Caenorhabditis elegans: one gene and its partner. The protein of the gene in region 2 purifies or fractionates together with the protein of the main gene of each other region. This does not show direct contact. Each region holds a gene or a part of one and is shown on either strand. Other genes may lie near its edges. The genes, in order: H27M09.5 and W02H5.8.

What was found.
Region 1: the proteins of W02H5.8 (region 2) and H27M09.5 fractionate together in Caenorhabditis elegans (co-fractionation; one large-scale study listed by BioGRID). This does not show direct contact.

What each region holds. Positions count from the first base shown.
Region 1 is NC_003279.8:6,843,971-6,858,390, forward strand, and holds H27M09.5 (uncharacterized protein), read right to left. Parts: upstream 2,990-14,420; 5' UTR 2,983-2,989; coding exon 2,940-2,982; intron 2,897-2,939; coding exon 1,914-2,896; 3' UTR 1,907-1,913; intron 1,291-1,906; 3' UTR 1,207-1,290; downstream 1-1,206. Other genes in the region: dpy-14 (Nematode cuticle collagen N-terminal domain-containing protein), read left to right, coding at 74-212, 264-830, 883-1,122; syp-4 (Synaptonemal complex protein 4), read left to right, coding at 3,624-3,689, 3,735-3,831, 3,878-4,046, 4,117-4,400, 4,456-4,661, 4,723-5,302, 5,349-5,492, 5,539-5,810; rpb-5 (DNA-directed RNA polymerases I, II, and III subunit RPABC1), read left to right, coding at 6,454-6,513, 6,559-6,989, 7,035-7,179; sacy-1 (RNA helicase), read left to right, coding at 7,411-7,578, 7,625-7,784, 7,914-8,043, 8,121-8,333, 8,381-8,534, 8,652-8,788, 8,834-8,906, 8,955-9,128 and 4 more; ATP-dependent RNA helicase glh-1, read left to right, coding at 10,842-10,881, 10,939-11,373, 11,417-11,491, 11,540-12,790, 12,839-12,942, 12,989-13,170, 13,219-13,423.
Region 2 is NC_003283.11:2,642,985-2,661,009, reverse strand, and holds W02H5.8 (Triokinase/FMN cyclase), read left to right. Parts: upstream 1-8,352; 5' UTR 8,353-8,366; coding exon 8,367-8,459; intron 8,460-9,465; coding exon 9,466-9,667; intron 9,668-9,810; coding exon 9,811-10,359; intron 10,360-11,941; coding exon 11,942-12,675; intron 12,676-13,686; coding exon 13,687-13,845; 3' UTR 13,846-13,955; downstream 13,956-18,025. Other genes in the region: angl-1 (Endonuclease/exonuclease/phosphatase domain-containing protein), read right to left, coding at 243-633, 1,845-2,247, 2,901-2,977, 6,087-6,229, 6,286-6,346, 7,380-7,557, 7,748-7,927; W02H5.2 (SOCS box domain-containing protein), read right to left, coding at 14,631-14,930, 15,992-16,324, 17,930-18,025.

The DNA of each region.
Region 1 (14,420 bases), on a different chromosome or scaffold from region 2:
TACAGTCACGGGAAAACAGGACCTTTTTCACTCGAAGAAATTTTATTTTAAAACATGAAAATGATAATTTCAGCCACGCTCGTCGTATTGCCATCGCAGCAATTATTGTCTCAACATGTGCTGTTGTGAGCTCATTGGTTGCTCTTCCAATGATCTACAATATGGTTATCAGTATTCAAAGTGAAATCTCTCAGGAAACTGGTTTCTGTATGGTTAGTCAATTATTTTATTTTTTATAAAATCATTTATTTTTATAATTATAGATGCGTTCCCGTGACATGCTTGTTAACATGTATTCAACTGCTGGAAAGAGTGGATATCGTGCAAAGCGTGCTTGGCAATTCGGATCATGGGTTCAAGATTCTGGAGTCGGAGGTGGAGCCGGTGGATACGGTAGTGGACCAGCTGATAGTGGATATGGTGCACAAGGAACCAACAATGGATATGGACCAGTTGTTAATGCTGAACCAGAACCACAATGTTGTACATGCCAACAAGGAAAGGCTGGACCACCAGGACCACCAGGAGATGATGGAAAGGACGGAAATGATGGATCAGCTGGAAATGATGCTAAGAATGGAAAGGATGGAGGTGTTGGACCATCTGATGGACTTCAATCTGAACCATGCATGATCTGCCCACCAGGTGCACAAGGACTTGGAGGTGCTCCAGGAGCCAAGGGACCACAAGGACCACGTGGATCACCAGGACTTTCCGGTGTTGATGGAAGACGTGGAGAGCCAGGTATGTCTGGACCAGCTGGAACTCAAGGAGAACCAGGACCACAAGGACCACCAGGAAAGAAGGGAGATGATGGAAGAGTTATTAATGTAAGTTTTATAGTGTTGATGAGCTTTAACTGCAGCACAGGAAATATTTCAGGTCAATGGACCACCAGGAGCCGGAGGAGCCCCAGGACCACAAGGACGCAAGGGAGAACGTGGACCAAAGGGAGTTCCAGGATCAGTTCATCCAGGAGTTCAAGGACCAACTGGAGATCAAGGAAGAAAAGGAAGAGCTGGAAGAAAGGGAGAAACTGGAGGACAAGGACCAATTGGATCAAAGGGACCAAATGGAGATTGCTTCCATTGCCCAACTCCAAGAACTCCACCAGGCTATTAATTTCTCGTGGATTCTGTGTTATTTCAATAAATTATTATTTATTCAAAAAATTCTGTGTTGCATATCAAAGTTCAAAACATGTAATAGTTGGAATATTCATTTCAACTTTTAAAATAATCGGAAGAATATCAGTTCACTTGTACAGCAGGAGACGATTGATCCAGAAATCTGAAAATATTATAGAAGATGTGCTAAGAGGGGAAAATCTTAGAAAAGTAACACTTTTGAACTTTTTTATTTGTTGACAAAAATGATCTCATAATTTTGGAAGTCGATCAATTTTTTCTACGAATTTCATATTCTAACCATGTTCGAAATAATTGCATTCAAACATTTTAGAGATTAACTAGTAAGACATGCAAAATTGATTTCAATTTCTGGAAAATATCACCTTTTTTAATTTGGCAGTTCACCAACAAAACTTAGACTAAATAGAAATTTACAAAAATCTGGAAATTTTTTGTAATGTATTTTTCTGATATTCGATTATTTGACAGTAGCTCTACACCATCGTCAACTAAACTGTACAAATACTGAAATTTTATGAATCAAAAATTCCCCCAAACACCTAGAGACGAAGGTACTTCTTTTTCACAAAATTACGAGATATAACCATTTCTAGCAATCGTGATTTCGTGAATCCGTGAAATTTGGCTGAGACTGAGATCGTGGTGGGACCCACTTTAAAAAATCATATATCCTGTGTCCTTAAAGTGATTTCACGAGACTACTTACGATATTAAATATAACTCTTTTTCCAAAATACAATAAAAGAAAAACTAACCACATGTTCACTTTCTCTTTGATTTTCTCGATTCAACATTTTTCTTGGACGCCTTCTTCGAAATGATTTTATTTTTCTTTTCTGGTCTCACACTATTAGACCTTTTGGAAGGCGATTTCAATGGATTTCTCGTAGATTTTGCTGATTTTTTAGAAAGCGTTTTTGGTGGTTTTATTGTAGAAATCAACTTTTTCGTTGAGATTTTTGCTGATTTCTTATCCCCCGGAGACAATGGATCAGCCAAATAATTTCGTGAAATCTTTTTTGTGGGTTTTTCCTTTGAAGGAGATGTTGGTGGAAGAGAATAATATGATTTTGGATTATCATTTGATGGCTTTACAGCAGTGGAATATGTTGATTTTCCAGTATCCACATAAACTGAACGAACGTCATCAGAATTTCGTTTCTCATGTGGTGGATCCTCCACCTTGTCATCGTATTTCTTGTAATTTCGGTAGCTGTTGCTTTTTTCTACAGGCATTGATCTGGCTGACTTATGTGAATTTTCACGTCTTCTCTTTTCATCCCTATAACTACTTCTTCTGGATTCTCCATCTCTATCTCTATCTCTATCACCTCCTCTTCCAAAATCACGTCTACTTGGAGATTTCTCCATTTTATGAGCCGATACATTATTTTTCTTGCTCCGAGAGCTATCTCTTTTGTCCCTAGAACTGCCACGTTTACTTCCAGAACTGTGTCTCTTCTTCCGTTTGCTCCGTGAGCTTTTCATACTCTTCTGTCTTGATTTTTTCTTTTTAGAACCTTCTTTCCTGTCAGATCCATTATTGTGATCATTTCCATCTTCCTTATAATTTTCCTTTTCATCTTCATTATCACCCTTCTTTTCTCTCTTAGATTTTTTAGATTTCTTCGATTTCATTGATTTCTTTGACTTTGAACCTTTTCGTCGGAACATCTCACGATGCCCGGTAGTACATCCAAGCACCATCGTTGCACTAGTTAAAGTGGCAGTCACCATAAGACATACTGTAAAAGTTGCTTCAAAAGCTGAATCAATGAGTAAACCTACGGTAATTCACATTCTCGGCCATTTGTTCTGGCGATGAACTCATTTTGTGAACAAAATAGAAATAAAGATGTTTTGATCAAATGAAAAGGCTATGCAAACGACACATCCAGTTCGAGACGTTTAATTTTGATAAATTTATATTAGCGTCTTTTCCATCCTTCAGTGAACTTTCAAATCTCCCAAATATCGTAAAAGAACATCGGCTAGGTGTTACATATAGACCCACTTTTCAGGGCCGCGCGCACGCAGCCCCGATACGCAAAAATTAAGCTGTTGGCGAATCTCAACTCGAGACTGCCACACAGGTCAGCCCGCACCAAAAGTGCAATGGGTAGGCCTAACCATGGGGATTCCGCCTTTGTGATCGCGAAATAACCCCCAGCCAGGTAAGTTTATGAGCCTGCGGGTGGAGGGAGTAGTGCGATAGGGTGTCCCGACATTTTGCGGTCTCCGCTACTCACTGTGTTTAGTGTATATGAGGCGGATTTTGACGTGATGGCAATTTGCGTATTTTACATTTAAGTTTACGAGCAATTGCAGGTACAGTAACCTTTGATGTGCAGGCACGAAAAAAATCTCCATTCAAAAGTTTGTTGCTTTTAGGAGAAAACTGAACTTTTCTGTTTCTTTGTTCGGTACGGTAACCTCATTTTTCATCAAAATTTTTTATTTCAAGGCGAAATAATGTCGTTTCCGACGCTACAAGTACGTCCAAATGAGAAAAATCCAAAAGTTCTGCGATGCCATGAGGTATTTTTAATCTACAGACAATCAGTTGTAATCCTCTTCTTTCAGTTTCTTCGCCAATCAAATCAACTTGTGGAGCGAAACATGATCAACACGGAAGGAAGAAAAATGTTGGCAAAGTTGCTGACGAAAATGGTATCCGAAGGTAAGATTCCCGATGGTTCATCGTTTTCCACTATTTTATTATTTAGCCAAAGGAATCTATGCATTAGATGAGAGACGCGCCGAGTTGGCAAAAAGTGGGAAACTCCAGGAGAAGCTGAAATCAGCTTATCAAACATCGCTGACAGTAATGGAAGATCGTCTACACATTGCTGAGCTATCTCGGCAGGTTCAAGAAAAGAAGCTGACAGTTCAGCAGTAAGTTTGTTCACATTAAAAGTAACACAATGTCTATTTTGACTCGAGTAAACCATTCAATTTTTTAAAGGAAATATTACGAATGTGACGACCTACGAAAATCCGTGCAAGAGACGAACACCGAGGCTCGACGAGTCCAGGAAATCAACGAACAGCGGCTTGTGGACACAACCAGGGCCACTGAGGAGCTCATCGTGAAAAGTGCCTCAATTCTGAAAAATCTAGAAAATTCATCCGACGTACATAAGCTTCGTGCAATGGAAGAGGAGAAAAGAATTCTAGAAGAAGTAGTGGAGGGGCTCAGAGATCAGAAGAAGTGTCTTGCCGATGATATCCGTACCAAGAAAGCTACATGTAAGTTATGAAGCATCGAATACACTTAATTTTTTGTAATATATCAAATTTTCAGTGAAAGCCGAATCAAAGAAATCGTTCGAAAAGACGGTAATTGAGTGTGCGAAACACTATAAACTCCATCAATCCTTGATGCCGAAGTTAGACAAATCGAAAAGAAGTTTGGAAACATTGAAGGACGAGGAAGAGAATCGACGAATTTGTGGAAGTCTCAGTCTGGATGAAACAATGCAGTTTGATCGTTCTTTTATTCTCGCGTCGGTATGTAAAACTAAATTTTATAAAGCCTAATTGCCTTTTCAAACTGAAATAATATTTACAGATGGACAAAACAAATAAGCCAGAAAAGGCCGTACAACAGTTAACTTCGAAAAGTTCGGAAGTTTCGATCACTCCACAGATAAGCGAAACCGCGAAATCTTCCTTCTCCAAAGAGCCAATTCCGACACAGCATCCGATGGAAGTTGGCGAAGAACCTGTAATCGAACATTCAGCTGAAGAAAGCGTTCATATTGAACCACCAAATGTCACTGAAATAAGGGAGGTGGTACCACAAATTACCATTCAGCCTACTCGTCAAGACAGCGTCGTTCAACGGGATGCAGAAGAGTTAGACACTTCAGCAGTTCCAAGCCCCCAACCGGAATCAATCCTAGATGAGCCCGAAGAAGAAGAAGAAGAACTTAGCAATCATGAAAATCATGCCGATCAATCGATGGATGTAATGGAAGTAGATCAGGAAGTACCCGAGGAAAGTCCCATGGAAGTCGGTGAGCAAGAAGAAATTGAGCAACCATCTGTATTCAAGGACATTCTAGCCACGGAGCAGGCTGCACTCTCCCAGGAACAAGAACCAGAGATCGTTGAGAAGCAGGCAGACAATGATGTTCAGTTTGTTGATGGTAAGTGTTTTACTTGGCAATAAACATTGAGTTATTCATTTCGCAGATCAACAAGTGGGAGCACAACTAGATGTAGAAGACGAAGAAGAAGTGATGAGCGAAAACGGTTCCAACAAAAGCAATAACTTCTCTTTTAACTTTTTTGGGAATAGCAAGGGTACATCAGCGGGAGAAGGTGGCGGTGAAGGCAGTAAGTTATGAAACACGTGAAATTAAAAAAAACTCCATTTTTATAGACTTCGACTTTAATTTTGACGGAATTGGAGCAGGAGATGATGGTTCGAACAATGGTGGTTCTACTGGAGATCTGGATTTCCTTAACTATGACGGAGAGGATGAAGGAAAGGGTTCGGGAAACACTCAATCCGATCCGTTCGGATTTGCATCAAATGGTAACGCAGCTGGTGGAGGTGGAGATGGATCGTTCAACTTTAACTTTGACGGTGACGGTGAAGGCGGAGCAACTTCTGGAGCGGGCGGAAACAGCACCTCGTTCTTTAACTTTTAGAAAATTATCATGTATTATTCAGCTCTTGTATCATTTGTATCGTTTAATGTCAGAAATTTTAGATTTTATTGGACCAAGAAATTGCCTCTTTTTTTTCTTTTTGAACAGCAAAAATATACATAATATAAAGTATTGATCATCTCATTGCGTTTTATTCTTTTTCACTTTAATGCTTTAAATGTATAGCTATTTAAATAATATTTATTCTGAAACAAACTCAAGTTCGCTTATGTTCGCAAAATTTTTGCTCGTAAAATCAGCAGCATTCGACGCAATGAACGATGCTCCGGTATAACGCTAACGAGCTTTGTTTAGCCATTGGAATTTTATTCGAAAAACGAAAATTGTCCTGTCAAATTTAGTGATTTTCATGTTTTTTTCCTTCAATTCTTTCCCACCAATTTGAATATGAGACATTGCAGCAATCTCCCTTCTGATTATTCAATTTAAATTGTTGGTATACCATAGTTTATGTTTTTCCTGTTAACCTCAATGTTTATTATTAATTAAAAGAGGTTGTTATATGTTCAAAGTTACACTTAAAATTGTGATGAGACTAAGACGAATTGTTCTTTATTTTTCAACCTTTAATGTCGGCGGAAAACTTTTTAAAAGTAGTTTATTGCAGAGACTAACAGTAATAATGGCTGACGACGAGCTTGAGACCTATAGATTGTGGAGAATCCGTAAAACAGTTCTTCAGGTAAACAAAATTTGGTATTTGCCATGATAATATGTTCATATTTAGATGGTTCACGATCGTGGTTATCTCGTAGCTCAAGATGAATTAGATCAACCATTGGAAACATTCAAAGTGCAGTACGGAGATCGTCCCTCTGAAAAAAAGCCGGCTCGCTCAGATCTGACAATTCTCGTGGCTCACAACGACGATCCAGCCGATCAAATGTTTGTTTTCTTCCCAGAGGACGCCAAAATTGGAATCAAAACTATTAAAGCTATCTGCCAGCAAATGCAAGAACAGAATATCTCCCGTGCTATCATTGTCGTACAAACCGGAATGACTCCAAGCGCCAAACAATCCATTGGCGACATGGCCCCAAAGTACATGTTGGAGCACTTTTTAGAGGCTGAGCTCATGGTAAACATCACAGAACATGAGTTGGTACCAGAACATGTCGTCATGACAGCCGAAGAGAAAGCAGAACTACTTGCTAGATAGTAAGTCTTCATATTAAAACATGATTATAAATATGATATTTTCAGCAAACTTAAGGATTCTCAGTTGCCACGTATCCAACAATGTGATCCGGTCGCTCGTTATTTTGGTCTCCGCCGTGGACAAGTTGTCAAAATCATTCGGCCATCGGAAACTGCTGGAAGATATATCACTTATCGTCTTGTGGTCTAAATCTTTTCTAAACCCCCTTGAACGTTGATCTTGGCCCAAAAATTTTCTGATTTTGGGTACCTTTGTTATTTTATTTTTTGTTTTTCCCGTTATTAAACCTATTTCTCTTGTATTTCAATTAAATCTTATTGGAAAATCGGTAGAATCCAATGCGACTTAAATATATACACAAGTTCAATTTTTTTAAGTATCTTAAAAAGTAGAACAGAAAAATTCGTTTAGTATTCCGAAATGAGCACAGATGTGGAAGCGGCGCGACGAAAATATGAGGACCGCCGGCGAAAAATTCAAGAGGAAGAAATGAAAGAACGCAGAGACGGCATGAATTTATCTTCTGGAGATGATGATCAAGACGTGGATGATATGTTTCTGACTGCATTACAGAGAAAACGAGAAAAAGTATTTGTGTAGATTAGTATTTTAAGAATTAAAAATTAAACTTTAGGTACATCGTCGAGCCCTACTGAAGCAAGTACTGGCTCCGACAATGAATCAAAAAGAAGAAATTGAAAGAAAACGAAAGAAAAAGGAAGAGGATAAGCAAAGTGAAGAAGCGAGAAAAACACTTTTGGAGAAACATGCTGAGATTATGGAGACACAAGGAGGTTATTTATTTAAAATAAGTTTATAAAATTAATGGACATTAATTGGGAATATAATTAGAAATATTCGATGTCTTTAAATATATTTCTGAAAATAAGGACGAAGTTTCATTAATAAATAATATTTTTCAGTTATTGACGAATCAGAACGGCAATTAATGGAAGAAGAAGAGTTACTTGATAAAGTTACACGTGGTGGAGGTCTCTTGGCAGTTGCTGAACTTACAAAAGGTGAAAAATATGAAGAACCAATTGTCACTGCGTAAGTTTTTCAACCCCAATTTTCCTCACTGTAGAATAGGAATTCTTCGTCGAATTAATAATTCATAAAAACTTCAGTTGGCGTCCACCTGGACACATCCGTCGTCAATCACAAGAAGACTATGAAATTCAACGAAAACGTCTTGGAATCAGTTGTGAAGGTGATCATATTCCACCGCCAATCGGCAGCTTCTTGGAAATGAAATTTCCAAAATCATTGCTCGAATTCATGCAAAAACAAAAAGGAATTGTGACACCGACAGCTATTCAGATACAAGGAATTCCCGTCGCGTTAGCTTTAAAAATTCGATTACTTTCACTTTTATCGGTATTTTCAGACTTTCTGGTCGTGACATGATTGGTATTGCTTCTACTGGTTCTGGAAAAACAATGACGTTTGTTTTACCGTTAGTTATGTTCTGTTTGGAGCAAGAGATGAAACTTCCATTTATGCGTAGTGAAGGACCATTTGGATTGATTATTGTTCCATCGGTATTCTTTTTAAATTCAAAATCGTATAAACTTGAGTTCAAACAATTTCTGTTGTTAAAAAAACTTTAGCAAAATCCGTCAATAATTCCGTTTTTAATTTTGAAATATACTTTTCAGAGAGAATTGGCTCGTCAAATCTTTGACCTGATCATTGAAATGTTTGATGCTCTTGGAAAAGCTGGACTTCCAGAAATGAGAGCTGGATTATGTATTGGAGGAGTCCCAATTGGCGAACAAGCTAAAGACGTTAGAGAGTGAGTGATTAGAATTTCGAATTTTATGATTTTCATTATTTTCAGTGGTATTCATATTGTTGTTGCGACACCAGGACGACTATCTGATATGCTTACCAAGAAAATTATAAATTTAGAAGTAAGACATAACTTCAAAGATTTCAAAAATTGCTTCAATTTATTACAGGTTTGCCGTTACTTAGTTCTAGATGAAGCTGATCGAATGCTTGATATGGGATTTGAAGATGAAATTAAATCAATTTTCTATTTCTTCAAAGCTCAACGGCAAACTCTCCTTTTCTCGGCTACGATGCCACGAAAGATTCAATTTTTCGCAAAATCAGCACTGGTCAAACCTATTGTAAGTTTTATTTATGCAATCGAGAAGTTTCAAAAATATAATTTTTTAACCTACTCCCAAAAGTTGTCATTCTTCAATTCTTAAAGAATAATTTTTCAGGAGTTTGTCTGTAAATTATAAATATTTTAGGTCGTAAATGTTGGACGTGCGGGTGCTGCTTCATTGAACGTACTCCAGGAGCTTGAGTTTGTTCGATCAGAAAACAAATTGGTTCGTGTACTTGAATGCCTTCAAAAGACTTCTCCCAAGTAAGATTTTATTTATCAGAAAATAATTAATTTAGAAATATGGCAACGGTTTTATATTTCAGAGTTTTGATTTTTGCCGAAAAGAAAGTTGACGTTGACAATATCTACGAGTACTTGCTTGTAAAAGGAGTTGAAGTTGCTTCAATTCACGGAGGAAAAGATCAAAGTGACCGTCATGCTGGAATTGAGGCATTCCGAAAAAATGAGAAAGATGTACTTGTGGCAACAGATGTTGCATCAAAAGGACTCGATTTCCAAGGAATTGAACATGTTATCAATTTTGACATGCCTGAAGATATTGAGAACTATGGTGAATTTCTTATTTATTTTTCATAATTGAATTTTTATTTTCAGTTCATCGAATTGGTCGTACCGGACGTTCCGGACGGAAAGGTCTCGCAACGACATTTATCAACAAAAAATCGGAGATGTCAGTGCTTTCCGACTTGAAACAATTACTCGCAGAAGCAGGGCAGGAACTTCCAGAATTTCTCAAAATGTTGGCTGGTGACGAGGAGGGAACTGCTCCAGCTGGCACAAATGCGGAAAAGGTAGTTAGAAAACATTTAGAAAATCGGGAAGTTCAACATGTTTTCAGGGATGCGCATACTGCTCCGGTCTGGGTCATCGCATCACAGATTGTCCAAAACTCGCTGGAATCGGAAACAAAACGACGCAAGCATTGGCAAGAGGTGGAGGCGACGATGGTGGTTTCTGATTATTTTATTCATACATTGTATCTCAATCTATTTATTTACTGTTTTCTTGTTTACATTTATAAAAATATTTGTCAGAATTGTACTATTTATTTCATGTTTAAAAAAAGTCTGGATTTCCGAGAAAACATGAAAATAATTAATTGATCGAGTTCATTGAAAAAGAAAAATGAATTAAATGCATTCTCAAAATTCTTTTTTTTAAAGGAGACACCACGGTTTCAAGATCTGATGGGAGTCCGGATCTACGTTTTCCGGATCTACCATTTCCGGATCTACGTTTTCCGGATCTACGTTTTCCGGATCTGGCACCGTGCAAACTCTTAAAACGCTATTTTTTCGAAGAAAAAAGTGACAACGACGCTCCGATGTTACGCGTCGCGTGTTGTTAAGCGTTTCTTCTAGAAGAAAATTTCGAAAAAAGTCGTGCGTTGAAAAGCGTTTTGTGCGTTGGCACGGTGCCAGATCCGGAAAACGTAGATCCGGAAAACGTAGATCCGGAAAACGTAGATCCGGAAATGGTAGATCCGGAAAACGTAGATCCGGAATCCCATCAGATCTTGAAACCGTGGTGCCTCTTAAAGAGTCGATTCTTTAAAGGAACACAGACTTTCACACCGTTTAGGTTTCGCCACGCGCCCCAACTACAGTAACCTCGACACACTCATCTACTAAATTTTGGGACAGTTCCTAATTCTTTTTGCTGTTTTCAACTCAATTTTCTGGAAAAATCTTAATTTTCTGCGAAAATGTCTGATGGTTGGAGTGATAGCGAAAGTGCTGCTAAGGGTGAGTTTTATTTTGAACTTTCCACCGGTTTTATTTTGATTAAAAACTTTATTTCAGCCAAAACTGGATTCGGTAGTGGAGGCGGTTTCGGTGGTGGTAACAATGGAGGATCTGGGTTTGGTGGTGGTAAAAATGGAGGTACTGGATTCGGTGGAGGAAACACTGGCGGATCTGGATTCGGTGGAGGAAACACTGGCGGATCTGGATTCGGTGGAGGAAAGACTGGCGGTTCTGGATTTGGAGGTGGAAATACTTGTGGATCCGGCTTCGGTGGAGGCAGTACAGGAGGATCGCCGTATGGAGGAGCCAGTTCTGGATTCGGTGGTAGTACTGCCACATCTGGATTTGGAAGCGGTGAAAAATCAAGTGCATTTGGAGGATCAGGTGGCTTTGGAGGTAGTGCAACTGGATTCGGAAGTGGAGGAGGATCCTTTGGAGGTGGCAACTCTGGTTTTGGGGAAGGAGGACATGGCGGCGGAGAGAGAAACAATAGTTCGTTTTTTAAATTGACTTTATATAATTACGTTTGTTTCAGATTGTTTCAATTGCCAACAGCCAGGACATCGATCGAGTGACTGTCCAGAGCCGAGAAAGGAAAGAGAGCCGAGAGGTTTTATTTTGATATAACTTTATTGGCAGTAATTTGTTTTATTTTCAGTGTGCTACAATTGCCAGCAACCCGGGCACACCTCTCGTGAATGTACAGAAGAACGCAAGCCGCGTGAGGGTCGCACTGGTGGATTCGGGGGCGGAGCTGGATTTGGAAACAATGGAGGAAATGACGGTTTCGGTGGGGACGGTGGTTTTGGTGGAGGCGAAGAACGTGGTCCAATGAAATGTTTCAACTGTAAAGGCGAGGGACATCGCTCTGCTGAATGTCCGGAGCCACCCCGTGGATGTTTCAATTGTGGCGAGCAAGGTCATCGCTCGAATGAGTGCCCCAATCCAGCCAAGCCAAGGGAAGGTGTTGAAGGAGAAGGACCTAAGGCGACATACGTGCCAGTCGAAGACAACATGGAGGACGTTTTCAACATGCAGAAAATTTCGGAAGGCCTTATGTTCAACAAGTTTTTCGATGCCGAAGTTAAACTGACTTCATCCGAGAAGACTGTCGGTATCAAACCTTGCAAGACATTCGCGGAAGCTAATCTCACGGAGACCATGCAGAAAAACGTTGCTCATGCTGGATACTCCAAGACCACTCCAATTCAGCAATATGCTCTTCCACTTGTTCATCAGGGATATGATATCATGGCTTGTGCTCAAACTGGATCAGGAAAAACCGCTGCATTCCTTCTGCCTATCATGACTCGTCTCATTGACGATAATAATCTGAACACTGCCGGAGAAGGCGGTTGCTATCCCCGTTGCATCATCTTGACTCCAACTCGCGAACTCGCTGATCAAATTTACAACGAGGGAAGAAAGTTTGCTTATCAAACAATGATGGAGATCAAACCAGTTTACGGAGGATTGGCTGTCGGTTATAATAAGGGTCAGATCGAAAAGGGAGCCACGATCATTGTCGGAACTGTCGGAAGAATCAAGCACTTCTGTGAAGAGGGTACCATCAAGCTTGACAAATGCCGCTTCTTTGTTCTTGACGAGGCTGATCGTATGATCGATGCTATGGGATTCGGAACTGACATCGAAACTATTGTCAATTATGACAGTATGCCGAGGAAAGAAAATCGCCAGACACTCATGTTCAGTGCCACTTTCCCCGATTCTGTACAGGAAGCAGCTCGCGCTTTTCTCAGAGAAAACTACGTGATGATTGCAATCGACAAGATTGGAGCTGCAAACAAGTGCGTCCTACAGGAATTCGAGAGATGCGAAAGAAGCGAGAAGAAGGACAAACTTCTAGAGCTTCTGGGAATCGATATCGACAGTTACACGACCGAGAAAAGTGAGTTTTTCGTTTTCTTATTTGATGAAATAAATTTCAATATTTCAGGTGCCGAAGTTTACACAAAGAAAACCATGGTCTTCGTTTCTCAAAGAGCAATGGCTGATACACTGGCTTCAATTTTGTCATCGGCTCAAGTTCCAGCTATCACGGTTGGTATATTTCATTTTTGACCGCTTTTTAATTCAAAATGTACAGATCCATGGTGCCCGTGAGCAGAGAGAGCGTTCAGAAGCTTTGAGACAATTCCGAAATGGATCGAAACCTGTTCTTATTGCTACTGCGGTCGCTGAACGTGGACTTGATATCAAAGGAGTGGATCATGTCATCAACTATGACATGCCAGACAACATTGATGACTATATCCATCGTATCGGAAGGTCAGTTATATTTTATTAATGTTTCAATAATGCAAGCATTGTTTTCAGAACTGGAAGAGTTGGAAACTCTGGAAGAGCTACAAGCTTCATCTCGGAGGATTGCAGTCTTCTGTCCGAACTTGTTGGTGTTCTCGCCGACGCACAACAGATTGTTCCAGACTGGATGCAAGGTGCTGCTGGAGGCAATTACGGAGCTAGTGGATTTGGGTCCAGTGTACCAACTCAAGTCCCTCAAGATGAAGAAGGCTGGTAGAAAACCGACCAATTGATAGTGTTTCGCATTTATTAATGCTGTCAGTTCCCCCATATTTTATCCTGCCCTTGTTGATTTTTAATTGTATTTGTTGGTGTTGGTTGTCGTTATAGTCCTCGCCGCATAAACTCTGTTCAATATCATGCTGTTCACGACTTCAACTATTAGTTGCATATTAAATGAAAAGAATTTTAACAAGCAAACTAGGCAATATGATCTCATATCACATTGCTCTCTCAGCTAATCAACTTCAATAATTTGTTTTCCGATTCTCCGCGGCGAGCATTTTTCCGCATACAGAAACTTTAGGCTCAATTCTTTATTTATTTTCTTTTTTGCTCTTCTCTCACTCGCTCATTTCCGGTCGATTTACATTCGTTTTTTCGCTTTCCTCTCACCTGCTTTTTTGCTCCCGTATTTTTTCTGTTGGCTTTGCCATTCCATTTACGGTTTGCTCAGTGATCACAATCAGGAAATAGAGTTTGAGAAGAAGAGTATTAGGGAAAAGAGGAAGAGATGATGCTTAGTTTCTGTTTCGCTGTGGCATTTCCTGTGTGCTTGTCTATCAATTTCTTCAAATATATTTTTAGTAATACTGTAGTAAGGTGTATTCTCAGTAGCACGTGGTGGGGTCCCACTGCGAGAGGGGTACTGTAACATACAATTTTTTGCGAAAATGTTTTCAGCTCCTATCTGCAAGTCGTCATCTCATTTTTTCTTAAATAAGTGCACATTTTCTATTCCGTTTCGTTTATTAACTAATAAATATAACTTCAAAAATCAAAAGGATTTTTTCTTGAAATTTCGAAAAAATTCCTTATGCATAAATAGATATTTCAAACGACTGTTCTGATGAAATCTTGTTCAGACTGCTTGATTTTTTCTTATTTTCATTGAAATTCGCCTCAAAGTAATTCACAGAAATTGGCTCAAAATTCCGGTGAACTACGGTAGACGACGAAGTCTGCAATTGAACATAATGCATTTCAAATGACGC
Region 2 (18,025 bases):
GCCGAATTGCCAGAACTTTTTAATTCCGGCAATTTGGCGATTTGCCGGAAATTTTAAATTCCGGCAATTTTCCGATTTGCCGGAAATTTTAAATTCCGGCAATATGCCGGTTTGCCGGGAATTTTAAACTTGGACACTTTTCCGATTTGCCGGAAAATTTCAATTCCGACAATTCGCCGATTTGCCGGAAACTTTAAATTCGGGCAATTTTCCGATTTGCCGAAAAAATGCGTCAAGCAAACCTTCCATCAACGATAAAATCGTAGACCTTGGAATTCGGCTCAATGTTAAAATCGCCCATCACAAATACGGGCGGAACCATCGGCGCAAAATCCTCGCGCATTTTATGAATCGATGCGAACAGAATCGCCAGTTGAGCCAGCTTCACGTCACCGCGTTCCTCGTTGAACAGCAAATGCGTATTGGCAACTAGAATCAGCTCCTTCGTAATTCGACACCGAAGAGCCACGATTTGAGCGATATTTTCGCGATTCGAGATCGCAGTGTCTGATATGAAATAGTTGACTTCTTGATTCGCGACTAGTTCGAATTTCGCGGGATGGTAGAACAAAGCGCACCCGTCGTCTTTTTGCTGGGTACCGAATTTTTGCTTGTAGACACCTTCGTAGCCGTCTGGAAGTTTTTTCACTGGTTTTTTGGGGTTTTTAGAGGTTTTTAGAGGTTATTTTAGGGTTTTTGGAAAAAAAAAATGTATTTTTGTTTTTTTTTTGAAAGAAGGCCAAAAAATGGGTTTTTTTTTCTAAAAATTTTCAAAAAAAAAAATTGAAAACTTAGGCAAAAAATATTATTTTCCAATTGCTAATTTTTTAAAATTAGTTTTTGAAAAAAAAAAAACTCGAAACAAATTTTTTTTTTCGCTAAAATTTTTCCTCAAAAAAAAAGGTTTTTTTGGGATTCTCGCCGGAATTTTTTTCTAAAAAAAAAATTGAAGAAAACATGTTTTTTTTGTTTTTGAAAAATATTTAAAATGTCTAAAATTATTTTTGGCTTTTTGGAAAAAAAAAAGAAGAAGGCCAAAAAATGAAATTTCTTAAAATTTTTCAGTGTTTTTAAAAATTTGACAAAATAGGCAATTTTTTAAAAATTAGTTTAAAAAAAAAAAAACTCGCCTCCAAAATTGCCTCCAAAATTCACAAATTTAAAAATTTTTTGCCTCCAAAATTCACAAATTTAAAAATTTTTTCACTGTTTCCTAAAAAAACCCAAAAAAACCCTTTTCGTTTTTTTCTCAAAAAAGTTGCTTTTTTAAAATTTTTTGCCGGAATTATTTTTATAAAAAAAAATGTATTTCTACTTTTTTTTTGGAATTAATTTTTTCTAAAATTTTTTGTGTTTTTAAAAATTGGAAAAATTAGGCAAAACAATAAATTTTTTAATTGCTATTTTTTAAAAGTTGTTTTCAAAAAAATCAACTCGAAAAATTTTTTTTTTTCGCTAAAAATTTTCCTAAAAAAAAAGGACTTTTTTGCCGGAATTTTTAACTTTTCCTATTTAAAAATTTCCAAAAATACATAAACTTTGGAAAATTTATTTTTTCTTTAAAAGTTTTTTTTAACGTTTTTTTGCGTTTTCAAAAAAAATCGCTAACTTTCTTAAAAAATGAAAAAAAAAAATTTCGATTAGTATCTCGTTTTCTAGCTTAGAAGCTAGCTTAAAATGCATAAATTTTGAAAAAAAAAAGTTTTTTTTTTCCATTTTTTTTTGGGTTTTCAGCGATTTTTTTCATAACTGTAAATATTTATTTCGTAGAATTTTTTTGAATTTTTCTAATTTTTTTTTCCAATTTCGACAATTTTTTCTAAAAAATAGAATAAATCCCATACATTTCTTCATAAGCGGCTGAAAATGCTCAACAAAATGGTCGGCCTGAACCTCTTGAAGGCCCAAAATGTCGGCATCAAACGTGGGCAGCTCGACCTGAAGCCCACGCCATCGATGCTCCCAATCTAAAAATTGAGCAGAACCCTGCAGATGTCGGTACAAATAGTCGGTGCGAGCAATTGTCTTCTGACAGAGCACATTGTACGAGCAAATTGTGAATTTTGATGATATTTTCGGAATTTTTGATCTCGATTGGGCTTCTGTTCGGTTCCAGCATCGCACGAGACGCTTGAAATCCTTGCAATCTCGTGAGAATCCGTCGTTGATTTTTTTGAACGTTTGTTGTGTAGTCCCCGTGGAGGATGGTGAAGAAGAAGAAGCACCGTTTGACCAGAATGTTTCTGCCTGGAAAAAATGCAAGAATTCTGATATTTTCTAATTTCAACATTTTTTGCCGATTTGCCGGAAATCATGGGAAAAAATTAAAAAACAATAAAATTAAAAGGTTTTAAACCGTCCGAATTTCGTAATGTTTTTTATGGCGGTGGTTCAATTCCGGCAAATTCGGCTAATTGCCGGTTTGCCGATTTGCCAGAAAATTTAAATTTCGGTAAGTTGCCGGTTTGCCGATTTGCCGGAAATTTTCAATTCCGGCAACTTGCCGGTTTTCCGGAAATGGTCAACTCCCCCGTTTCGCCGATTTGCCGGAAATTTTTCATTTCAGGAAATTTGCCGGTTTGCCGATTTGCTTGAAATTGAAAATTTTGAATTTGCAAAAAAAATGTGCAAGACCACAATTTTCCTTTAAAAAATTTTTTGCCGGTTTTCCGGAAAATTCGGCAAATCGGCAATTTTTGCCGGTTTTTTTTTGTCAAATTTCCAGTAATTTTATACATTTTTGCACGGTTTTCTCGTGTATTAAACTATTTGTACCAAGTAAATGACATTTATCGAAAAGATTTGCTGAAAAAATCGATAAAAATTCCAAAAAGTTGCATTTTTTTGGCATTTCAAAAAAAAAAGAGAAAAAATGTCGCTTCGAGACCCGAAAAACTCACCATATTCGTTTCCAGCTGTGTCATCGTCCTGCCACGTCGAGGATATTCGCCAACAAATACAATGCCGTCTTGGGAATCTTGAAATAATTTTAATTTAAAAATTAAAAAAAAAAATCGAATTAAAAAATAGAAATAAACTACAACGTGTAGCCTTATTTCAAAAAAAAAAAAAAAAGAACAAAAACTGATAACTGGGGATTGGGGGGGACCGACCAACTTTCGAGATAAGCAAGTGCGCTCTACTGGACTGTTCAGCTAGACAGTGTTGCAGATGGGCAAATAGTGTTATTAAAATGGGGGGTTTTTGCTCGCATAGACTCGAAATTTTCTCAAATGATCGAATTTTGTAAGGAAAACTTAGAATCTCGAATGCTAAATTTAGCTAAAATCTTCAATTTGGGCAGCTTATACTTTTTACTTTTTTTTTTTTTGAAATTTGAAGAATTCGCACTACAAAATTTGTTCATTTGAGCACATTTCGAGCTAATCCAAGCAAAAATACGTAAAACTGTTACTCAACAATGGTTCAAGATGTGCGGCAGAACGAGGAAAAACCCCCCAAAAAATCATCGGAACAGGGTGTGGCGGTGGTGTGCTCAGCAAACAACTTTTTACGTGCAAAAAGTGGAAAAACTTAAAAATAACCCCGTTTGCAAATTCAAATCTACTAAAAATCCACGTGGTGTCGTCAGGATGTCTTATTGCGGTTTGATCTACGAAAAGCACGCTGTTAACCGAGCGAAATCAGATGAGATGTCCACCAGGGGTGAGCGCCGATCGCCGATTTTTTTTCGATCGCCGCTCTCCCCCGATGTCCACGTCTCAACTCCCGCATTTTTCGAAGATCAAAGCGAAATGAGACATTCTGACTCCACGTGGAAATCAGGGGTGTGCGGATAACCGATTTTTTCGGCTAACGGATAAATCGGCTAATGCGGATTTTTTGAAAACCGGCTAACGGATAATTCGACTAACGGCTAATTTCAAAATTTTCGGCTAACGGCTAATTCGGCTAAAATCAATCGGTCAAATCGGCTAATTTTCGGCTAATTCGGATAAAATTCATCTGGTCAAGCTTTTTTCGTTCTTTCTGTTAATTCAGGTTTTGGGTTAATTTTTTCATTGTTATTGAGCAAATTCAGTGATGAACGACTGTTCAAATAGGAAAAAATCATACAAATTCACCACATTTTGTTTTCCAAAAAAATGTTTTAGTGGAATTAGCCGAATTAGCCGATCGGCGAATTCGGCTAACAACGGCCAAAATCGGCTAACGGATAACTACGTATTAGCCGAACTGTCAAAAAGTCGGCAGACGGCTAACTCGACTAATTGGTACAAAATTCGGCTAACGGATAATTCGGCTAATATTAGCCGAGTTAGCCGAATCAGCCGATCGGTTAATTCGGCTAATTCGGCTATTATCCGCACACCCCTGATGTCCACCAGAGGTGAGCGCCGATCGCCGATTTTTTTTTCGATCGCCGCTCTCCCCTGATGTCCACGTCTCAACTCCCGCATTTTTCGAAGATCAAAGCGAAATGAGACATTCTGACTCCACGTGGAAATCTCAGCATTTTGATTCAGTCAATTTCGGTTTTTGTCTCAAGAGAGAATTCTCGAAAAAAAATAAGAGCCAAATCTCAAAAACAACTGACTAGTAAACAAAATTGGGGAAGAAAGGGCGATGTGATTTGTTATCAGCAAAAGATTTTTTTGTTCTTTTTTTTATAATTGAACAGATAAACACACAAAAAGTGGTGGGTAAACACGGTGCGTTGGAATGGCAAATATTGGGAATTCGACACGTGGTTTTCTGGAAAATTCCGATTTAAATGAGTTATAAATATTTAGAAATTTTGATCTTCTAAACTGCACGGCCTCCTGGAGTGTTCATAATTATTAGAGCGCGCTCGCGCGGCACCCCTCACGAACTCCAGAATTCGCGGGAATTCGTTTCGCGGGGACAGCAGTTTTGGCTATTTTTGGCTTCTATGGAAATTATTTTTAATTTTTTAAATTTATAATATTGTTCAGAAGCATCATACAAACCGAACATTTGTAAAATTATGAAATTTGGCTCAAAACGGAAGATTTTACACAAAGGATTCACTACAGTGTCTTTTAAACATGTATCAGGATCGTCAGTTTTTCGATTTATGTGCCGTAAAATATGTCACTTTGTAGAGAAAAGTTTGTTACACAGAAATCAGTCAAAATGTCTTATTTCGATTTGATCTACAAAAAATGCGGGAGAAGAGACGCTTGGTTAAGAGCGTGCTGACGTCACCACAAATTTTCTGGAAAAAATATTCCCCCGCATATTTTGTAGATCAAACTGAAATGAGACGCGAAAAATCACCACAATTATAAATTTTGCCTAGAAATGCTGTAATAAAGCTGGACTGGACATCTCCTGAGATTCTAGATTTAATTTTGGAAGAAAAAAAAGTACAAACTGCGTCAAAACGACTAGAAGACTTCTGAGGGAACGCGCGCGTGGGTGTGTATTGCCGGAATTGAAATTACCGGCAAATCGGCAAAGTGCAAAAATTGAAAAATTTCCGGCAAATAGGAAAATTGCCGGAGTTGAAAATTTCGGGCAAATCGGCAGATTGCCGGAGTTGAAATTTCCGGCAAATTGCCAATTTGGCGAACATGAACATTTCCGGCAAATCGGAAAATTTGCCAAAAATTAAAATTTCCGGCAAATCGGCTCATCGGAAATCACCGAAAATTGAAATTTCCGGCAAATTGAGAAACCGGCAAATTGCCGAAAATGAAAATTTCCGGCAAATCGGCAAATTTGCCAAAAATTAAAATTTCCGGCAAATCGGCAAGTTGTCGGATTTGAAAATTTCCGGCAAATTGGCAAATTGTCGGAATTGAAAATTTCCGGCAAATCGGCAAATTGTCGGAATTGAAAATTTCCGGCAAATTGGCAAATTGCCGAAAATGAAAATTTCCGGTAAATCGGAAAATTGCAGAAATTGAAAAATTTCCGGCAAATCGGCAATTTGGCGAACATGAAAATTTCCGGCAAATTGGCAATTTGCCAAAAAATAAAATTTCCGGCAAACCGGCAAATTGTCGGAATTGAAAATTTCCGGCAAATTGGCAAATTGCCGAAAATGAAAATTTCCGGCAAACCGGCAAATTGTCGGAATTAAAAATAAATTTATTTACCGATTCTGCCGACGGTCGTGCCCGGCTCCTGTCTGCCAAAAACTTTTTTTTTCAGATCCCTCGGCTCTGAGCTCTTTTTTCTCGTTTTTTCGAAAATGTCATCGTCGAGAACAATAATGCTGTCGTCCTGGGAGCCCGTGGGTCTAAAACTATTTTTTTCGGCGGTTTCTACAATAGTTCAGAGCATTTTAAGATGTACCTTTCATCCAAAACGACCTCTTCCACTTTTTTCGTCCGTGTCAGGTGTTGGTTTTTTGCCACTTTAAATAAATTAAATTGATTTTTTTTGCGGTTTTTATTGATTTTCAAGCTTTTTCGCGAATTTCGCAGTTTTTATTGATTTTTTATTTTAATTTTGCTTTAAAACGCATATTCTTCACTGTATATATCGTAATTTCACAGAATTATTCAGATATCGGGTCTCGGCGCGCAAAATTTTTTTTGGTAGCCGTTTTTCTTGCATTTTTCATTGAAATTACTTATATTTTAGCGAATTTCTTGTTGAAAATTGTTTTAAAAATCAGTTTCAGAGTACAAAAAAAAACACACACAAAAAAAGCGAGTGGGCGGCAGTTTGCCGGTTTGCCGGAAATTTCCTTTTTGGCAATTTGCCGATTTGCCAAAAATTTTCAATTCCCGCAACATGCCGATTTGCCGGAAAAAATCGGTTGCCGCCCACACCTGATTTGTACTTTGAAACTGACATGAGTTAAAACAATCTTAACGGAAAAATGCAAAGAAAACGACGAAAATCCCAAAGTATTTTCGTTGAAAAATGCAAGGGAGATACTACACTTTTTTTTTGCGCGCCGGGACCCGTCTCAATAAATTCATGCGCCTTTAAAAAGGCGTGTTGAAATTTTGTGAAATTACGACATATATGCGTTTGCAAACGAATTAAAATGAAAAATGAAAAATCAACAAAAACTATTACAGGAACACTAAATTCTGAGAATTCTGCGTATTGCACAACATATTTGACGCGGGCAAATATCTCGTACCGAAAACTACAGCAACCCTTTAATTGACTACTGTAGCGCCGCTGGTGTCGATTTACGGAAATAATGTATACACCGATAAAATATTGTAAAATACGAAAAAAATCGAGATCCCGTAAATCGACACCAGCGCGCTACAGTAGTCATTCAACGGGTTACTGTAGTTTTCGCTACGAGATATTTTGCGCGTCAAATGTGTTGTGTAATACGCAAAATTCTCAGAATTTTGTGTTCCCGTAATATGCGAAAGCCAATGTTATTTCAGCAGATCCTCCGTTGTCTGTGTGAAACTCACACCAACTAGCACAAAAATTCGACGACGTTGTCGGCTGCTGCTGCTGCTGATCTACGGATGATGGTGCATGTAGGGATGGTGGTGATGATGATGATCCGGGCGTCGCTTCATCATCGCCGAGACGAATAGTTTTGATGGGTTTCGGTGGCGGTCTGTACATCGGAGCCGGAAGCTGCTGCTAGAAATATCGAAAATGCGCTCAGATGCTTTAACCACGTGTGGTGTCAGACTGTCCCATTTCGGTTTGATCTACGTTGATCTACAGAAAACGCGGGAGTTACGTCGCATTTTGCCGGAGCGAAAAATTCCCGCATTTTTTGTAGGTCAAACTGAACAGCCAGACACCACGTGTGTGGTTAACCACTAACATTCGCGGCATCATCATCCGCCAAAAATTTGTTCCACGTGTATTGCGATGATCTTCTGTGGCCGTGGCCGCGGCCGCTAGCGGCGCCACGTTTGAAAACTCTTCCATTACCACCTGCACCACCACGCGTGCTCCGCTGGTCCGTAGGTCGTTTGGATTTTGGCCGCGGCTGGCGTGGCATGCCTGCAAAAATTCTCAATGTCTGCACACACACACTTCTGGCTTCCCTCTTCTTAATTGAAAAGGAAGAGTTTGCCGAATTAGGCCATATTGGCTCGGGGTAGATTTACGGCGCGTTGCGTGTCGCGTCGCGGCTTGTAAAACTAAACGTATTTGTCCGTGTGGAGTACACGACACTTTCCCACGCGTTGTCCGGCGGGCGATTGTAAATGGAGCGCGCAAGAAGTTCAATGAGGATGGCCAGAAGCCCGTGTTTCTGTACTTTGAACAGTGGTCATTTTTGTTGTCAAATTGCCAAAAATTGATCAATGAACACAAAAAAATCCTATCTTATCAACACAATCACCCCACGTCGTGTTTTCTCCGTGACCATATTGTCATATTTTTTTAAAAATTTCTTATTTTCCCATCCTAATTCATTTTCAGTTGGGCTAATAAAAATGTCGAAGAAATTTGTGAACAAAGCGGAGGAAGCTGTCGACGATGCGCTTTTTGGACTGGTTTCATCGAATTCGAATGTCAAATTTCATAAGGTTAGTATTACCGGGAACAGAGAATTCTGAGAATGCTGCGTATTGCACAACATATTTGACGCGCAAAATTTCTCCTAGCGAATACCACAGTAACCCTTTAAATGACTAGCGCTTGTGTCGATTTACGGGCTTTAATCAGTTTCGAAAATCGAAATCCCGTAAATCGACAACAGCTCGCTACAGTAGTCTTTTAAAGAGTTACTGTAGTTTCCGCTACGAGACGTTTTGCGCGTCAAATATGTTGTGCAATACGCATTCTCAGAGATTCTGTGTTCTCATGATATTGAATATTACCCATATGCAAAACTTTGCGATTTTTGATAGAAAGAGTACTGTACTTGCAAACTCGTTGCGGAATTTTGCCTTTTTTTTCGGTTTTTCAAGAGCCAATTTTTGGTATCCGTTCTCTCGACACGACAAGTTTTTGATTTTTGTTAAATACAAAAAGGTGTGCGCCTTTAAAGATTACTGTAATTTCAAACTTTTGCAGCAGCGGAATTTTTTTTATTGATTTTTCATTTTTGCATATATTTATATCAAAGAACCGTGAAAAATCGACAAAAATTTCGCAGCTACACAAGTTTAAAACTACAGTAAGCATTAAAGGCGCACACATTTGGGTATTCATCACAAATCAAAAACTTGTCGTGTCGAGACCGGTCACCGTACTTCTGCACGTGGTGCTAGGCTGTCTCACTACAGTTTGATCTACAAAAATGCGGGAATTTTTTTTGGCTCAAAAAAATGTGACGTCAACACGTTCCTAGCCATTCGAAATCAGTTGAGAACTCTGTCGCATTTTTTGTAGAATTATGTAGATCAAACCTAAATGAGACACTCTGCAACCACGTGCAACGCGAGTTTAAAACTACAGTAATCTTTAAAGGCGCATAGCCTTTTTGTATTTATCACTAATCAAGAAGATGTCGCGTCGAGACCGGTCACCGTAATTTTGGCACAAAAATCTCCCAATTCCAAGATAATAACAAGCCCCGGCACATTTCAGAGCTGCCGACGAGTTGTTCACATCACCGATCTCAACCCCTCGCACCACGTTTCCCTGATAGCTGGAGGTGGTTCAGGACACGAACCGTATGCTGCCGGATATGTTGGAAAAGGTCTTCTGACCGCTGCAATTGCCGGAAACGTGTTCGCTTCCCCGCCGTCGAGGAACGTTCAGGCGGCATTGGAGGCCACTAGAGGAGAAGGTACGGTTTGATCTACAAAAATCGCGGGGGAATTTTTTGCCCAAAAAATGTGACGTCATCACGTTCTTAACCAAGAAAAATCAGTTGAAAACTCTGCCGCATTTTTTGTAGATCTACGTAGATCAAACCGAATTTTTTTGCAGCCGGTGCCATCTTGTTCGTCATTAACTACACCGGAGACCGTCTGAACTTTGGTTTGGCGGCTGAGCGATTCAACGCATCAGGTGGCACAGCTCGAGTCGTCACGATCGCCGATGACGTGGCAATTGACAGCCCGAATAGCAAAGTTGGACGTAGAGGTCTGGCGGGTGCAGTTTTAACAATTAAAATTGCTGGAGCCATGGCCTGGGAAGGAAAATCGCTGGATGAGATCTACGAGACATCTCAAAAAGTTGTGAGCTCAATGGGTACACTCGGCGTGTCACTTTATACGGGAAGCTTGCCGGGCAAAAATCGAGAGACCGAGTTGCCGGACGATCAGATTGAAGTAGGACTGGGAATTCACGGTGAGCCGGGCAAATTTCGTGCTCAATTTGGCAGTGCCAATCGAATTGTGCACAGCTTGTTGGACACACTACGCTCGAAGATGGAAATGCGGGAAGGCGAGAAGTTTGTGGTTCTTGTCAACAATTTGGGTAGTGTTTCGCAGTTGGAGATGAACATCGTGAATGGAGAGGTTTTGAGATATTTTGGTGAGGAATAGGGAATAGCTTAAAATCGGTGTGATCTACAAAAAATGCGGGAATTTTTCGCCCAGAAAATTGTGACGTCATCACGCAATTTTTTTGTTAACAAACGATTATTTCCGGCAAATCGGCAAATTGCCGGAATTGAAAATTTACTGCAAATCGGCAAACCGGCAATTTGCCGCATCGCCGGAAATTTAAAAAAATTTTTTCTGGAAATTTCAAAATTTTTTATTCGGCAAAAATGATAAAATTGCCGGAATTGAAAATTTACGGCAAATCGGCAAATTGTAGTTTTGCACATTTTTCTGGAAATTTCAAAATTTTTGATTTTAATCGGCAAAATGAGTAAAATTGCCGGAATTAAAAATTTCAGGCAAATTGTGGTTTTGCACATTTTTTTCTAGAAATTTCCGAATTTAAATTTTAATCGGCAAAATTGGTAAAATTGTCGGAATTAAAAATTTCCGGCAAATCGGCAAATTGGCAGAATCGAAAATTTCCGGCAAATCAGCAAATTGTCGGAATAGAAAATTTCCGGAAATCGGCAAACCGACAATTTGCCGCATCGCCGGAAATTAAAAAAAATTTTTTCTGGAAATTTCAAAATTTTTTATTCGGCAAAAATGATAAAATTGCCGGAATTGAAAATTTACGGCAAATCGGCAAATTGTAGTTTTGCACATTTTTCTGGAAATTTCAAAATTTTTGATTTTAATCGGCAAAATGAGTAAAATTGCCGGAATTAAAAATTTCAGGCAAATTGTGGTTTTGCACATTTTTTTCTAGAAATTTCCGAATTTAAATTTTAATCGGCAAAATTGGTAAAATTGTCGGAATTAAAAATTTCCGGCAAATCGGCAAATTGGCAGAATCGAAAATTTCCGGCAAATCAGCAAATTGTCGGAATAGAAAATTTCCGGAAATCGGCAAACCGACAATTTGCCGCTTTGCCGAAAATTTTCGGCATAATGCGGTTTTGCACATTTTTTTGGAAATTTCAGAATTTCATTTTTAATCGGCAAAATTGGTAAAATTGCCGGAATTGAAATTTCCGGCAAATTGTAGTTTTGCACATTTTTTTTCTTGGAAATTTCAGAATTTCAAATTTTAATCGGCAAAATTGGTAAAATTGGCAGAACTGAAAATTTCCGGCAAATCGACAAATTGCCGGAATTGAAAATTCCTGGCAAATCGACAAATTGCCGGAATTGAAAATTTCTGGCAAATTCGAAAATTGCCGGAATATAAATTTCCGACAAATCGGCAAATTGGCGGAATTAAAAATTTCCGGAAATCGGCAAAATGCCGGAATCGAAATTTCCGGCAAATTGCGGGAATTGAAAAATTTCCGGAAATCGGCAAAATGCCGGAATCGAAATTTCCGGCAAATCGGCAATTTGCAGGGAATTTTCAAGTTAGGCAATTTGCCGGGAATTTTCAATTCAGGCAATTTGCCAATTTGCTGGAAAAAAAATCGTTTGCCGCCTACCCAAAACTTCCGAATTTCGGGAAAATCGAAAATTGTTTTTTTTCGACGACACCCACGCTGCTCCCGATCTTTGTAAAAAAAATCCAACTTTTTCAGAAGATCACAAAATTGGAATCACTCGATTCTTCAGCGGTATCTACATGACATCTTTAGACGGTCATGGCGTCAGTGTCACCATTCTGAGAGCCGATGACTCTATGCTACAGTACTTGGATGCTCCAGCGGCGGCGCCGGGATGGATTCCAGCACTTTCAGTACAAAAATGTGTAGATCATCAGGAAATTTCGGATTCGTCGTCCCAAGGCGACCTAATCTCAGAAATTCCAGCGTCTGGAGTAACTGTGAATGCCCAGCTCGTGGAAGCATGCGTCGGAGGAGTTGTGGATGCGATGCTGGAATCCGAGAAACATCTGAATCAACTCGACGCGTACGCCGGTGACGGAGACTGTGGGAGCACGTTTGCCGGAGCAGCTGAAGCGATTCGCAAGCAGACATCAGGCCTCAACTACACTCATCCGGAGACACTTCTCAAGCAGCTTTCCATCATTTTTGAGCAAACCGTCGGAGGAACCAGTGGAGCGCTGTACGCGTTGATGTTCAGCTCGGCGGCGCAGAGTTTCGCTCAAAGATCGCAAAGAGGAGAAAAGATCGATCGAACGTCGATTCTGGAGGCGTTGGACAAGGCGAATCGGGCGGTTCAAAAGTACGGAGGCGCGAGAGTCGGAGATCGGACGATGGTTGATGGATTGGATGCGATGGTCGAGGAGTTGAGAAAGGGATTCAGTGGGAATGAGGAATCGTTGGATGCGATCTTCGAGGCGGCGGTTAAGGTGGGTTGGGAAAATGTTTGAAATTCGGGGAAACCACAAAAAAAACGCGAAAGAATAACAAATCCAGCCCTTTCTGCAACATGAAACTCGCGACCAATCAGCGACTGGTCGAGCTCCGCCCATAGTGCCTGATTGGTTGAAAAGAAGACGGAGCAATGTGCTGATTGGTTGTAGTTAAGCATTTTGAAGGGAATTCAATTTTGGAAGAGTGCCCTCATGAATGCGAATTACGACCAATCAGCGCATCTCTCCGCCCACTTTTGAACCAATCAGCGTTCACATTGTGCTGATTGGTTGAAAAGGAGGCGGAGCGAAACGCACTGATTGGTCGTAGTTGAGCATTTTGGAGGGAATTCAAACAGGGAATTTAAGTTAGCCGAAAATCTTTAAAAATCTCGTTTTTAAAAGTTTGATTTTTCAACTTGGGCTGAGAACCTACCTACCAAAATGAAGCGTACGACCAATCAGCGATGCGCTCCGCCCACTTTTGGGCCAATCAGAGCTCTGATTGGTTCAAAAGTGGGCGGAGCAAATCGCTGATTGGTCGCAGTTCTGGTTTTGGGGGGAATTCACCAGAAATTTGTATTTTGCGATAATTTTGAATTTTAGCCTAATTAGGATGTAACGTCAATGAAAATTTCGCTTCAAAAAATCCAAAATAGTGTCGAATTCAGAAAAAAGCCACAAAAACGCAATTTTGGCTGAGTACGACCACCAATCAGCGATTCGCTCCGCCCCCTTTTCAACCAATCACATCTCTGATTGGCTGAAAAGTGGGCGGAGCGATGCGCTGATTGGTGGCAGTTCTCGTTTGGAGAAAATTCACCCAAAAATGAGAAAAAGTCCTTTTTTTTTTTTGAATTCGAAACTATTTTTGGATTTTTTGAAGCGATTTTATCAGCCAAAATTGAAAAATTACATTTTTTAAAGTTGGATTTTCCTTTTTTTTCGCGATTTTTTTCTGTGGAATTTTTGAGTTTTAGGCCTATTTTGAAAATTAATAATTTGCAGGCTTCCGAAAAAGCGGCGAAAGCGACTGCAAGCCAAACGGCAACCGTGGGCCGTGCCAGCTACACATCGTCAGAAGCCCAAACGAAGCCTGATGCAGGGGCCACGGCAATCTCACTCTGGCTTAGAGCTTGCTGGACGGCTTATAAAAGCGAAAAATGATCAGAGATCGAGAGAGAGAGATAGAGAAAAATGGATAATAAAACCATATACATAGTTTGAGCAAAAATTTAAAAATTTCGTGTCGAGAAATAAAAAATACTTTAAATAAAGATCATCGTATAAATAAATAAATAGACAAATGCACAATAAGAAGATACACATTTTAAAGGTGGTATAATCGATTTTTAATAAAAATTGCTTTATTAAACTCAAAATTGTCTGAAAACACCGAATTTCATAATGAAACTTTTTGAAAACTTCTCAAAAAACAGTTATGGCGACTCAAAAAATGGGCTAAAATTAGTTAAAATTTGAAATTTGACCGATTTTTCAGCGGCTGGAAATTAACTTTTTTGAAATCACCGTCAAATTTTGGGTGTATAAGTTAGTTAACTTGCGTTTTCAACTCGATTTAGGTACATTAAAGACCGATGGATTACCAGAAATAACCAAATTTTACAAAATCTGGATCGACCTTAACGGTGGAGATCAGGAAAATGAGCATTTTAAAGTAAAAAACTCATTTTCCTGATCTCCACCTTTAAAGTCGATTCAGATTTTGTAAAATTTGGTAACGCCTGGTGATCCGCCGACCTTAAATGTACCTAAATCAAGTTGAAAACGCAAGTTAATTAACTTACATACCCAAAACTAGATGGTGATTTCAAAAAAGTTAGTTTCCAGCCGCTGACAAGTTGGTCAAATTTCAAATTTTAGCTAAAAAAAAAACAAATTTTAGCCCATTTTTTGAGCCGCTATAACTTTTTACGAAATTAAACAAGTGATTATTTTTGAACTCGGGGCGTCGGAGAGCTCAGCTTCTTGTTAATGGCACGAAAGAAGACAGGCTGAGGGCGATTCTCGCCGCCGCCGCCGCCGCCTGAAGCCAACGGGCTCTGCGGTGGGTGAGTATCGTGAAGCAGCGGAGCATTGGGGCGCGGAGATTGAGCAGATCGATTTGGAGTAGAAGGATCCGCTGATGATGGTCCGTCTTGGTAGTAGAGATCTGAGACGTTGACGTCGAGTGGCCGAAAACGAGTTGATGATCCATTTGAAGAGCCCGACATTGATTGAGTGGCTCCGCGCTGGAAAATTGGAATTTTTTTGTTATTCAGGTTATTAAGGAAAAATGGCCAAATTTTCCGATTTTTGGAAATTCGGAAAATTTCAAATTTTCGGGTTTGCCGAAATTTCACTAAAATTCGATTTTTCGATGTTCCGAAAGATCAAAAATTGTCGTTTTTCGTAAAAATGGGACATTTTTTTGAACAAAATTGATTTTAAAAAAAAATTTTTTTGTTAATTTTCTGTACATTTTTTTGGTTTTTTTTTTAATTTTTCGGTTTCCGAGAAAATCAAAAAAATTTTTTTCTACCGAAGTTCTGAAAAAATTCGAAAAACAGCTTAAAATGCTGCGTATTTCTCATGTAAGAGATAATAGAATTTTTTAAACATTTTTTTTCGATTATTTTTTGTATACTTCTTCGTTTTTGTTTTTCCGATTTTTCGTTTTTCCGGAAAATCTTATAAAAAAATTTCAAAAAAAAAAATCAATTCTTCGGTAATAGCTTAAAATGCAGGTTTTTTTTTCCAATTTTTGTTTTTAGGAGAAATTTGAATTTTGTTTTCAGATTTTCGGAAAAATGCAAAATTTTTCGTTTTTATTTTTTTAAGAAATAAAAAACTTTTTTTTTGAATTTTTTTTTTTTGGAATTTATATGTTTTATAAAGTTTTTAATTAAAAAAAACTTTTTTTTTTTGATTTTTCGAGCGGCCGAAGACCAAAAAAGTTTTCTTATTCGATTTTCGGAAAAATGAAAAAAAAAATCGATTTTTCGGAAAAAAAGCCTAAAATTTTTCGATTTTCCGATTTTCACAAAAATTAACAAAAATTAAAAAATAAAATCGATATTTGAAAATATTAAAATTTGTCGTTGTTCTCTGAAAAAAAGAAGTTTTTTCTCAGTTTTCCTCGATTAGAAATTGGTAAGAAATTTTGGCAATTTGCCGGTTTTCCGGAAATTTTCATTTTCGCCAATTTGCCGATTTGCCGAAAATTTTCAATTCCGGCAAGTTTTTCTCGAAAAAATTTTAAAAAAAATCGAATTTTTTTGCCAATTTTCCTCGAGTAGAATCGTGGTGAGACCTGAAAATCTCGTGCTCCAAGTGTCTGCCGTCGCTTTTCTCCTCCCTTCTCCAGCAGAAGCGTATCATCGTCCGAGTACCGGAATGTGAGCTGTGATACGGTAGAGCCAATGCGTGGCCGCATTTGTTCTTGAGCCGAGTCTATCGAAAGACGGCGAATTTCGGCGGCACTGAAATCGTCGATTGAGCCCGGATTTTTGACGAGAAGCCGGTTTTGGAGCCTGTTGAGCCAAAATTGTCCGAATTTGCCCAGGCGTTTGGAGGCGTGAAAGTTTTCGCGAAGAATGTACAGGCCGAATGGTGTGATGGAGGCGATCTCGTTGAAACCCGTTTGCTGGAAGAAAAATGTTGTTTTTTTTTCGGCAAATTCGGCAAATTGGTAATTTGCCGGAAATTTTCAATACAGGTAATTTGCCGGATTGCCGATTTCCCAGAAATTTTCATTTACGGCAAATGGGCAAATTGCCGTATATTTTGATTTTCGGCAAATTTCCGGTTTGCCGATTTCGCGGAAATTTTGATTTTGGGCAATTTTCAATTCCGGTAATTTGCCGGAAATTTCAAACCCGGCATTTTGCCCAGTTGCCGGAAATTTCAATTCTGGCAATTTGCCGATTTGCCGGAAAAGTTGATTTTCGGCAGTTTGCCGATTTCCCGGAAATTTTCATTTCCGGCAAATGGGCAAATTGCCAAATATTTTAAATTCCGTCAGTTTGCCGGATTGCCGAGTTGCCGGAAATTTTCAATTCCGGCAATTTGTCGATTTTCCGATATTTCAATTCTGACAAATTGCAGTTTTCCGGAAATTTCAATTCCGGCAATTCGCAGGTTTGCCGATTTGGCGGAAATTTTCATTTTCGCCAGTTTGCCGGAAATCATAAATTCAGGCAATTTGCCGATTTGCCGGATTTTCAATTCCATCAATTTGCGGAAATTTCAATTCTGGCAATTTGCCGATTTGCCGGACATTTCAATACCGGCAAATTGCCGATTTGCCGGAAATTTCAATTTCGCCAAGAAAATTACATTAATTTCATTTGAAACACTTGGGAAAGTGCTAAAAATTGGTCTGAAAGTGGCAAAAAACCGGCAATTGGCAACTTTTAGGCCATTTTTGAGCATTTTCTCAAATTTTTCAGTTGAAATAACTGCCATTTTCAGAAAAACCAAGTTTTTTTTTGTTCTGGCAGTAATTTTTAATGAAAATTGCTTCAAAATAGTCTCTAATTCAAAAAATCCAAAAAAATCGAAAAAATTGAATGCTTCGAAGCTGCGACCAATCAGCGATTCGCTCCGTCCATTTTTTAACCAATCAGAGCTCGAAGTCGCTGATTGGTCGAAAAGTGGGCGGGGCGAGTCGCTGATTGGTCGCCGACCTCATTTGAAGGAAATTTAGCCAAAAAAAGGTGGATTTTTCATTTTTTCGCGATTTTTTTGGGGTTTTCTGAATTTGAGACTTTTCTCTTTGGGTTTTCGGGGAATCAAAGGAAAAACGCGATTTTTTTTCAAATTTTGGCCAAATTCCCTTTAAAACTTGAACTGCGACCAATCAGCGATTCGCTCCGCCCATTTTTCAACCAACCAGGTGCTGATTGGTAGAAAAATGGGCAGAGCGAGTCGCTGATTGGTCGCCGACCTCATTTTGGAGGGATGTTAGTCAAAATTTGAAAAAAAAACGCGAAAGAATGAATAATCCACCTTTTTTTGGCTAAAATCCCTTCAAATGAGGTTGGCGACCAGTCAGCGCCTCGCTCCGCCCACTTTTCGGCCAATCAGCACCTTATTGGTTCAAAAATGGGCGGAGCGAGTCGCTGATTGGTCGGCGGACCTATATGAAGGGATTTTAGCAAAAAAAATGTGGATTTTTCATTCTTTCGCAATTTTTTTGTGGTTTTTCTGAATTTGAGGCAATTTTTTTTCGGATTTTTCCGTTTCTTACTCGAATAAAATAAATGCCATGATTAATCAATAAATTAATCGGTTTCCCGCACTTTGGGACATCTTTCATCGATTTCCGAACGAATTTCGTCGGCGG